Neurospora crassa OR74A: one gene and its partner. The protein of the gene in region 1 interacts with the protein of each later gene in a biochemical or structural test. Links are inferred from orthologs where the notes say so. Each region holds a gene or a part of one and is shown in the gene's direction. Other genes may lie near its edges. The genes, in order: NCU02776 and NCU03246.

Region 1 (4,347 bases):
AAAAAGAGAGGACGACAAAATCGGGTGCTGTTTCGGCGTTGGACAAGTCCAAGGGGGAAGATGAAACGAGAGCGGCGGCGTCTAGGAGGGTGTAGGTCTTTCGTTTGTTGGTTGGCGATAAACTCTGCCGACAGATCTGGGAAGACCAAGAAAGGGGAAAGCGACGGCCGTCCATGTTGGATTGGGCTGGGTAGGCGAAGAGTATCGGTCGTTCTTCGTCTTCGTTGTCGTCAAAGGGACAGCTCCCAGATAACCAGTCTTCCACCTGCCGAGTGTCCAGACAAACACTACTTCTAGCCTCTTCCCGAACTCCTACCAAGCTGGTATGGCTGGATTGATGGTAGACATAGTCAAAGCCCGTGGGCAGACATCTCATGGCTTCGACAACCAGCTTGATCCCGGCTGTGGCGTTGGCGACAAAGACGAGGTCAAAGTCGGCTGGGTCGGCGTTGAAGAACTGCAGGGCTCGGAGACGGATGTCTTGGATGCGCTGGGTTGACAGTTGGGAGGAAGCTGAGGCGGAGTGGGGGTTGCCAAAGAGGTTGGTGGTCATCTCTTGGGCGAAACGGTCCATGAGGGACTTGGGATAGGGGGTGGTGCCGGCATGGTCGAGGTAGATGGAGTCTGTTTGTTTTGTGTTAGTGGTCTGGTCAAGTTGTTGAAAACGAACTTCAACTTGCCCTTCAGCATAGGATACTCTTCTTCTCTTATCTTTTCCACGTCGGCATCGTAGCCATTGTGCTGTATGTTTAACGAACCCATCTTGGAGAACAATCAAGTATCACCAAGTCCATTAAATGACAACCGGTCAACCGAGTTTGATATTTCTGTGAGATCTCTGGGCTATCGACATGGACATCTGAACAGACACTGAGGTGGATGACTTGTCATTGCCACTTGTGGTCATGATACTTGTCGATAAACACAAGCAAAGGCACCTACGGTAGTGGCGTCGGGTATTGGAGGTTTAGTTTTCTTATACGTACCGATTCGGGAGGTCCAACGGGACGGAGATCGCCACTTTCCAGCACAGCAAAGTGAAACACAGGCGGCGGTCTCCCTGCTTCAGTGGAGGGCTCCCCTGGAATGCCCCTGTGGACACTGTGAGAATAGTGCGGGGAAGTGGATACGGATCTGGAAGAGGCCCCGCTTTGACACAAGGCACGCGCCACGAAACGAACCCTCCCTAGCCACAGTCTGTGTGGCTCATGCGCAACGGGGCTTAATTGAAACGCGCAGTGCAGCGGGGAAGCCGCGTCGAGCACCGAGCTGCAGCCCCACAAATTCGCGGTCGCGTCTCCGCAATGTGGAAGTGGAATGTGCCAGGGGTGGCAGCGCGCGAACTGGAATTCTACTTTGGTGCAGTGCGACTGGGACTGAGTGCGCAAGGTTCCTCTTTCCACCTTACAACCACACAACCACGCAAGTCCATCACCACCATCAACATCCGCGCATCGTTCTTTCCACGCGATTGCCGCTTGTCATTGTGATTGTGCATTGCGACTGGTGTTTTAGACTTGACAAAAAATCATGGCCTCACCTAGCGCACCCACGACTCTGGGAAAGAGGAGAAGGAGCACCAGACTCACAGGTGAGCAGCTGCAACTGACAACGACATTCAAGAGTTGCCATCGACATACTGACAGACCACAAGACGAGGAAATCACACTAGGCCCTCTTGCCGTAAAGCGAACAAGACGCTCTCTCCGAATCCACCCAGAGATCCACCATGAGCCCGACCACATCCAAGCAGAGAAGGAGAAGGCCGCCTCACCACCCAAGCCAACTGCCGACGAGGACGTTGAGAACCACAAGGAAAACCGCAAGCCCACAGGAGACGAGGACGAGGACAGAAAGGAGGCCGAAACACCAGCCAAGTCACTTCTCAGAAGGCGCAAATCAGTCATCGCCAGCCCGCCAAAGACAGCTCCCGTCACACCTTCCACACCACGACACTACGATGTCTTTGCAAGAGTACCAGTCACCACTCCGCGCCATCGCGTCATGTCCGTTGGCAAGCTCTCCAGGCGCATGACACCAAGCACGCCCATGACACCCGCCGCTTCTCAGACAGTCTACCATCAAGCTCGCCAACTCTTTTCTCGAAGCGCCGATCCTGGAGAGCTCATTGGACGCGACGACGAGCGCGAGAAGCTCAACACTTTCCTGGATTGCTGCACCACTGCCCATCCCAGCGGCTGCCTCTACGTCAGCGGACCTCCTGGAACCGGAAAGAGCGCCATCGTCAACAAGGTCACCGACAAGTTCGCATCCGAGACATCAACAGTGCGCAAGGCTTACATCAACTGCATGAGCATCAAGTCGTCCAAGGATCTCTACGTCACCCTTCTCGACCAGCTAGTCAGCAAAGATGAAGACAAGGAGGAACTCTCAACCGAAAGCGACGTGGTGGCAGCTCTCCAAAAGCTCATCCTGCCCAGGAAAAAGACCCAGGACGTCTTCCTCGTGGTGTTGGACGAAATCGACCACATCCTCACCCTCGACCCTGAAAGTCTCTACAGCCTCTTCGAATGGTCACTCGAAAAGAAGAACTCGCGCCTCGCCCTGATCGGCATTGCCAACGCGCTCGACCTCACCGACCGTTTCCTGCCGCGCCTCAAGTCGCGCAACCTCAAGCCTGAGCTTCTGCCCATCCTTCCATACACGGCGCCTCAGGTCAAGAACATCATCATCACACGTCTCAAGAGCCTGCTTCCTGGTGGAACACCCAAGGACCCCAACTACATACCCTTCTTCCACCCAGCCGCCATCGAGCTCTGCTCGCGCAAAGTCTCCAGCCAAACCGGCGACCTGCGCCGCGCCTTCGAGATCTGCCGCCGCGCCATCGACCTGGTCGAGTCGGAGACCCGTCTGAAGCACGAAAACGAAGTCAAGGAGCAGATGCTACAAATGTCTCCCTCCAAGAAGCGCGTCCTAGGCGAAAACACCAACCTCTCCTCGGCTCCTGCGCCTTCCTCTCTCTTCCGGAGCATCTCCACTGGACCCAGCGCCAGCGTCTCGGCCTCTTTACTCAAATCTCTGCAAGCCTTGACGCCCGCCACCGCTCCGCGCGTCAGCATCGCCGACCTCAGCAAAGTCACAGCCGCAGCATTCAGCAACGGCACCACTCAGCGTCTCAAGACGCTCAACCTCCAGCAGAAAGCCGCTCTGTGCGCTCTGGTCGCCATCGAGAAACGTAACCGCGCCGCGCAGTCGGAGGCTCTTAACTCTGCTTCAGCCAGTTTTGCATCCACTACCGGCACTCCGTCGAGGAAACAAGAGGCGCCAATTGCCCCGACAGTCAAGACTCTCTTTGAAGCTTACACCAAGCTCTGCAAACAGGACTCGCTGCTTCATCCGCTTTCGTCATCTGAGTTTCGCGAGGTGGTGTCTTCCTTGGAAACTCTCAGTTTGATCACGCCAGTGGACGGCAAGACGGGATCGTTTACTGCCTTGGGGTATAGCTCGCCTGGAGTGGGGACACCGAAGCGGGGAGGCAAGAAGAAGAAGGATGTGTTTGGGATGGGAGGCGCGTTGGTGGCGGGAGATGAGAAGAGGGTGGCTAGCTGTGTGGGGGAGAGGGAGGTCGAGCAGACTTTGCTGAAGGATGATGGGGCGGGAGTGGGGATTTTGAGGGGGATCTTGAGTGGAGAGGCGTTGGATGATTGATTGATTGTGTTTGGGATAGTATTGCAAAGTTGCTGATGATTTGGACGAGTCGGGTTTCATGAGTAGGTTGTTTTGCGTTGTTGGAGAAGGAAGCATTGTTGAGAAGTACGGACGGAGCATGGCATGGCGTGTTTGAGAGAGCATTCAAAAGTATATCATAGGGAAGGTGTTTGGATTCGTTGTAACCCAGGACAAGGGTTGGTGTTTGGCGTTTGGGTATTTGTTTGGTTTTGCGTACTTGTTTGCATTGAAGACAAAAATGGGGAGCAGGGGCACAAAAGTCCTCATCATCGGCATTAGTACCTATCCATTACATAGACCTGCCGTCGTACGTACATAGACAGACACACATTGATACACACCAAAAAATGAAGACACTTTACAAAAACCACTTTTTGACATCCATCCATCCATCCATCCATCCATCCATCCATCCATCCATCCATCCATCCATCCATCCGTCCCTTCCGGTCTTATTAGATAGGTAAAGGTAGATGTGAACAGCTCAGGAACCAAAACAATAGTATGTATGGTATGCATTTGAGATGCGGGGTTTACAACCGGCCATCAACTAACTTATATACTTACCTCTTGAATTCCCCGACGGTGTGGCCGGCGGCGTTGTAAACGGCCTTCCTTTCCTGCCTTTCCCGACCCCTTAGGTTCTGTATGTTTCGT
Region 2 (4,513 bases), about 4.2 Mb from region 1:
GTCCAAATGGCAGGTCCGAACAAACCGTCGTAGGGACACCTCATACCCCAGGAGATAGGCATACGTACAGGTGGTGATCAACCACCATTGTTGCCTCTACCTGCTAACCGCTCAGTGTCCAGAGGCATGGCGCCATGTCTGTCGCGTCATCTTTGGCCCCAGATGAGAGTGGGCGGAGAGTGGGCGAATTGAGTCTGCTGCAGCAGGAGTGAACCCGTAAGAGTCTCGACACAAGCAGCCCTCAGATGCTGGCTTTCTCAGACTCAATGACATCCACATCCATCTCCTCCTGCACCTCCAACACCAACGCTAGGCTGTCCATAAAGGAATTCACGGCAACGCGCAGCATGCGGTTTGTGGTGGCCTTGTAGTCGACTTGCAGGACCGTCTCCCCAGCATGTTCGCTGCCAGGAGACGCAACGGTCGAAAGTTCCCGCTTCACGAGGCCGGAGAGCTCCTTGTCCACCCTCAAAGCCTGCAGGGCAACAGAAGCTAACCGAGCATCAGGGAAGGGCACTCGGAGTGTTCTTGTCGGTTGCTGTGTTAGTGTCGATTATCTTGAAAGGTATGCAGAGTTTGAGTGAAGCAAGGATGTGACGATGATCTCATGAGACGAATGGTACAAGATGAAAAATTGAAAAAAAAATCAAAAAAAAAAATTTCAAAAATTGGAAAATAAACAGAGGATCAAAACATATCAGAACAAGGAATGAAGTAACAATCAAAAACAAATGACCTACAGCGAGCAGGGGAAGTTATCGTCGGTTGCCATGGTTGCGGTCTTTAATAACCCCGAAGTAAACACTTGCAAGAAATATGTTGTCGTGAACCAAAGGGTTTCAGACTGGCACTCGCCTAACGGTTGTCAGGGGAGTTTGTGTGGTAAGCGCTACCCGATGACGAATGTCAAATTCCAACCGCCGCGAGTGTGCCTGGGCTGTGATGACCGATAACAGGCCCTTGTGGGAAACTCTGTAGGAACCTCAAACTGTATCTCACACTGGCAATTCCGCAGTGATGTTACTATCGTCTACAGTTATCGCAAGGTCGTAGGCGGCAGGCTGGCTGAACAGGGAACGAGTTTCGATATTCGGTTGTTGCCGTGTGCTGGGCGCAAAGGCATCATGGCGGCTTTACAGAAAAAGGACAAGCTCCGGCAACACCTCCCTCTCTACCTCAGCTGGAAAGTGGAGCTCTGGGGGGGGATCTCCCGTCAGAGCGAAGCGATTGGATGTTACTGGTCCAGGCGCGACTGCGGATGCCAAGAGAGAAGGTTGTCAGGACAACGGCGGGTGAGATGGAGCTTTGAACGCGCTTATTGGGCGGTGAATTGTTTTGGAAGATACCAAGCCCCCCGAATTCTTCGCTGGCCCACGCTAAACCCCGGGCGCAGGCAGAGCGGTCGGGCAAGATCAGTTGCGACTTGGAGGCGGTCTCTGCATGGAAGGTGAGGTGAAGGTCTCGCTCGTTCTCCGGTTCGCCAGGGTCCCTGCCAATGACAATACACACACGACATACAACCTTGCCAGCAAAAACACCGCTCTTGGTAAGTACCGGTAAAGGCCGTACCTGCTACAAAACCTGTTCTCCGCAACCAGCTCATACCCACCGGTCTTTTCTGACCTCCTCCTCTCGCACATCATCATCGAGTTGCCCACTCCTTTGTTTCTTCAATTCTCCTGCCTCCGGTGCCTTCGTTCTTTACAAGAATTGCATTCTCGCAGCCGGTGTCCTCTCGTCCTTCTTTGGAGGCTTTGGCCCTTGTTTTTGGCCCTTTCATCCCACCCCGCACCTGCAGTGCAGTACACAGTCCCTTGCCTCGCGGTATAGCTACCTAGCCCAGCTTGGCTGCTTGGTTTTCCCTTGTTGGCACACAATCGCTCGCGCAAACGATCTGCGATCTCGACCTCACCTTCTTCCCGTCAATCAATCCGACCATAATTTTGGCCGACCTCAAGTACAGCCCTCAAACGACAAAAGATCGAATTGGACTTTAACATCCTTCGCTCCCGCCTCCCTATACGTAGCTCATTGCATTGCACAGCATCACTATTCCCGTACGTGCGCCTGCGCATTGTCGCAACGCCAATCGCTCTCTCGACATAAACAGTCGACTTTGAGCCTCCCAGGCCACGACGCCATGGCTCCTTCCTCCAGACACTCCAGCAATCTGGGGCAAATCATCGAGTACATTCCCGGTACGTGTAGATTATTTGTGCGCCGCTCCGGTCCTCTTAATTGAAGCTACAATTTTTTTTTTGTTTTGCTTCTGGCTCCGTTGTCCGAAAACTCCATGTTTATGATCCACCCGCATCCCATGTTCACCGCTCCGCAACGGAGCTGCTCGTCCCAATATGAGCACCTTTGAATATCCTCTACAATATCAGCAATTGCCTTACAGTATACTAACCTTTACAGACCGATTGTACCTTGCATCTTACTCTGAACCTCCTACCGAGCATACCTTGTTTCCCTACCCGGATCCTGAACCACGGTCCCCGCGCAAGCGCTCTCAACGAACAATCGACCAGGTCACGGAGCGTAAGAAGCCATACTACTTCACTGTCGACGATACTCTTCTATACAATGCCTTCCACCACGATTTTGGCCCGTTCCACATCGGCCACCTTTACCGCTTCGCCCTGCAGTTCCACGAAATTCTTGGGGCCAAGGAGAACAAAGACAGGCCGGTAGTGTTCTGGAGCAGGGCCGATCCACGCAGTAGGTCATCTAAGTCCGCCTCCTCGAGAACAGCAAAGATTGCTGACCAATGTTACCTTAGGTCGTGCCAATGCCTCTTGTCTACTAGCTTGCTACATGGTTTTGATCCAATCGTGGCCTCCGCATCTAGCTCTTGCGCCGGTCGCCCAGGTTGACCCCCCTCTAATGCCGTTCAGAGACGCCGGCTACAGCCAGGCCGACTACGGCATCACGGTTCAGGACGTTGTGTACGGCGTTTGGAAGGCCAAGGAGGAAGGCTGCTGCGTGTTGGAGACATTCGACCTTGACGAGTACGAAAAGTTTGAGAGAGTTGAGCACGGCGACTTCAACTGGATTACACCCAACTTCCTGGCATTTGCCTCTCCTCAGCATACCCCGGTTGCTCCCACCCCCGAGGGGACCGAGCAGTGGTCACTTCTGCCAAAGACCCTAGCCGCCGTCGACGCACATCCTACGCTGCCGCAGCCCTTCAAAAATGTTCTCAGGCATTTCTCGGAGCGAGACATCGGCCTTGTCGTCAGGCTGAACTCGCAGCTCTACAATCCCTCATACTTTGAAGCCCTAGGAATCAACCACATCGACATGATCTTTGAGGACGGAACATGTCCTACCCTTTCGACCGTACGGAAATTCATCCGCATGGCCCATGAAACCATCTCTAGGAAGAAGGGCATTGCTGTTCATTGCAAAGCTGGCCTCGGCCGAACAGGCTGCCTCATCGGTGCCTACCTGATCTACCGACATGGATTTACAGCAAACGAGGTCATTGCCTACATGCGCTTCATGCGCCCAGGCATGGTCGTAGGGCCTCAGCAGCACTGGTTACATCTGAACCAGGGCATCTTCCGGGAGTGGTGGATTGAGGAGCGGGTTGAGCGGAGGCTGCGCAAAGAAATGGCAGCCGCTGCCGCCGCCGCCGCTCAGGCTAACGGGACAGCGCATCCCAGCACCCCTGTCCGTGCCGTGTCGAAGACGAGTCTTGGTCGTAGCTCTAGCAAAAATGGCGTGTCCACACCCTCTAACAGAGGATCAGTTCGGACACCGCTAGGCGAGATCGATCGGGAGTCGGCGCGTGACAATCATATCGGCGTACAAGAGGATTACCTCCCCGCACCTACGCCAGGACAGCCAAGGAAGACGCAGCGGGGCGCAGTAGATCGCCAGAAAGGATATGGCCGGGGACCTATTCAGACCACTGTGGAGGAAGAACCCGTTCCCATGACAGAAGTGACAACCGAGGTGATCACAGTTCACAAGAGCTCAAGAGGGCCGAGTTCAGAGGAGGAATGGAATCTTCGAAGATCTCGGCGAAGACAGTCTGCTGCTCCAACTTCACCAGGACAACCCCCCGAACGGTCTGTCACCCACCAAACCGCTACCACGAAAACGACTGTTTATCAAGTCATGGATAATGATGCATCGAACGATATCGAGAACATTGGTACTGCCGCAGCACGAATCAAGGCCCATGACCACGCTCCACGCACTAGTTCCGCGTCTGGAGTTTTGACCAAGATACGAGGCAACACTAGTGCGAAACGCCATCCACCTGGGAGCGTCAGAGAAGCTGGTGTTCGAAAGACGAGTGGACGAGTTGGGAGTATAGGGAACTCGACAACCAGTCCGGCCGCTGTATCGGCAATGCGTAAAATAAGTGGGATGTGACCCTATTCTCATGAGTCAAAAGATTATACTTGACTTGATGTGTTACAAACGAAAGCTCGGATTCATTGGCTTCATAATTCATTTGAGATACAAAAAGAAAAGGTGCGTTCAAGAGCATAGGGTTATG

The links.
Region 2: of the proteins of NCU02776 (region 1) and NCU03246, one has a biochemical effect on the other in vitro, tested with the Saccharomyces cerevisiae proteins (3 studies listed by BioGRID). The link is inferred for Neurospora crassa OR74A from reciprocal best matches to the Saccharomyces cerevisiae genes CDC6 and CDC14.

What each region holds. Positions count from the first base shown.
Region 1 is NC_026501.1:9,228,428-9,232,774, forward strand, and holds NCU02776 (cell division control protein Cdc6), read left to right. Parts: upstream 1-1,383; 5' UTR 1,384-1,530; coding exon 1,531-1,591; intron 1,592-1,654; coding exon 1,655-3,669; 3' UTR 3,670-4,060; downstream 4,061-4,347. Other genes in the region: NCU02777 (molybdenum cofactor sulfurase), read right to left, coding at 1-624, 681-762. UniProt on the Saccharomyces cerevisiae protein: Plays a crucial role in forming the pre-replicative complexes.
Region 2 is NC_026501.1:5,041,535-5,046,047, forward strand, and holds the start of NCU03246 (tyrosine-protein phosphatase CDC14), read left to right. Parts: upstream 1-1,594; 5' UTR 1,595-2,140; coding exon 2,141-2,198; intron 2,199-2,418; coding exon 2,419-2,721; intron 2,722-2,782; coding exon 2,783-4,386; 3' UTR 4,387-4,513. Other genes in the region: NCU03245 (hypothetical protein), read right to left, coding at 242-527, 741-772. UniProt on the Saccharomyces cerevisiae protein: Protein phosphatase which antagonizes mitotic cyclin-dependent kinase CDC28, the inactivation of which is essential for exit from mitosis. To access its substrates, is released from nucleolar sequestration during mitosis.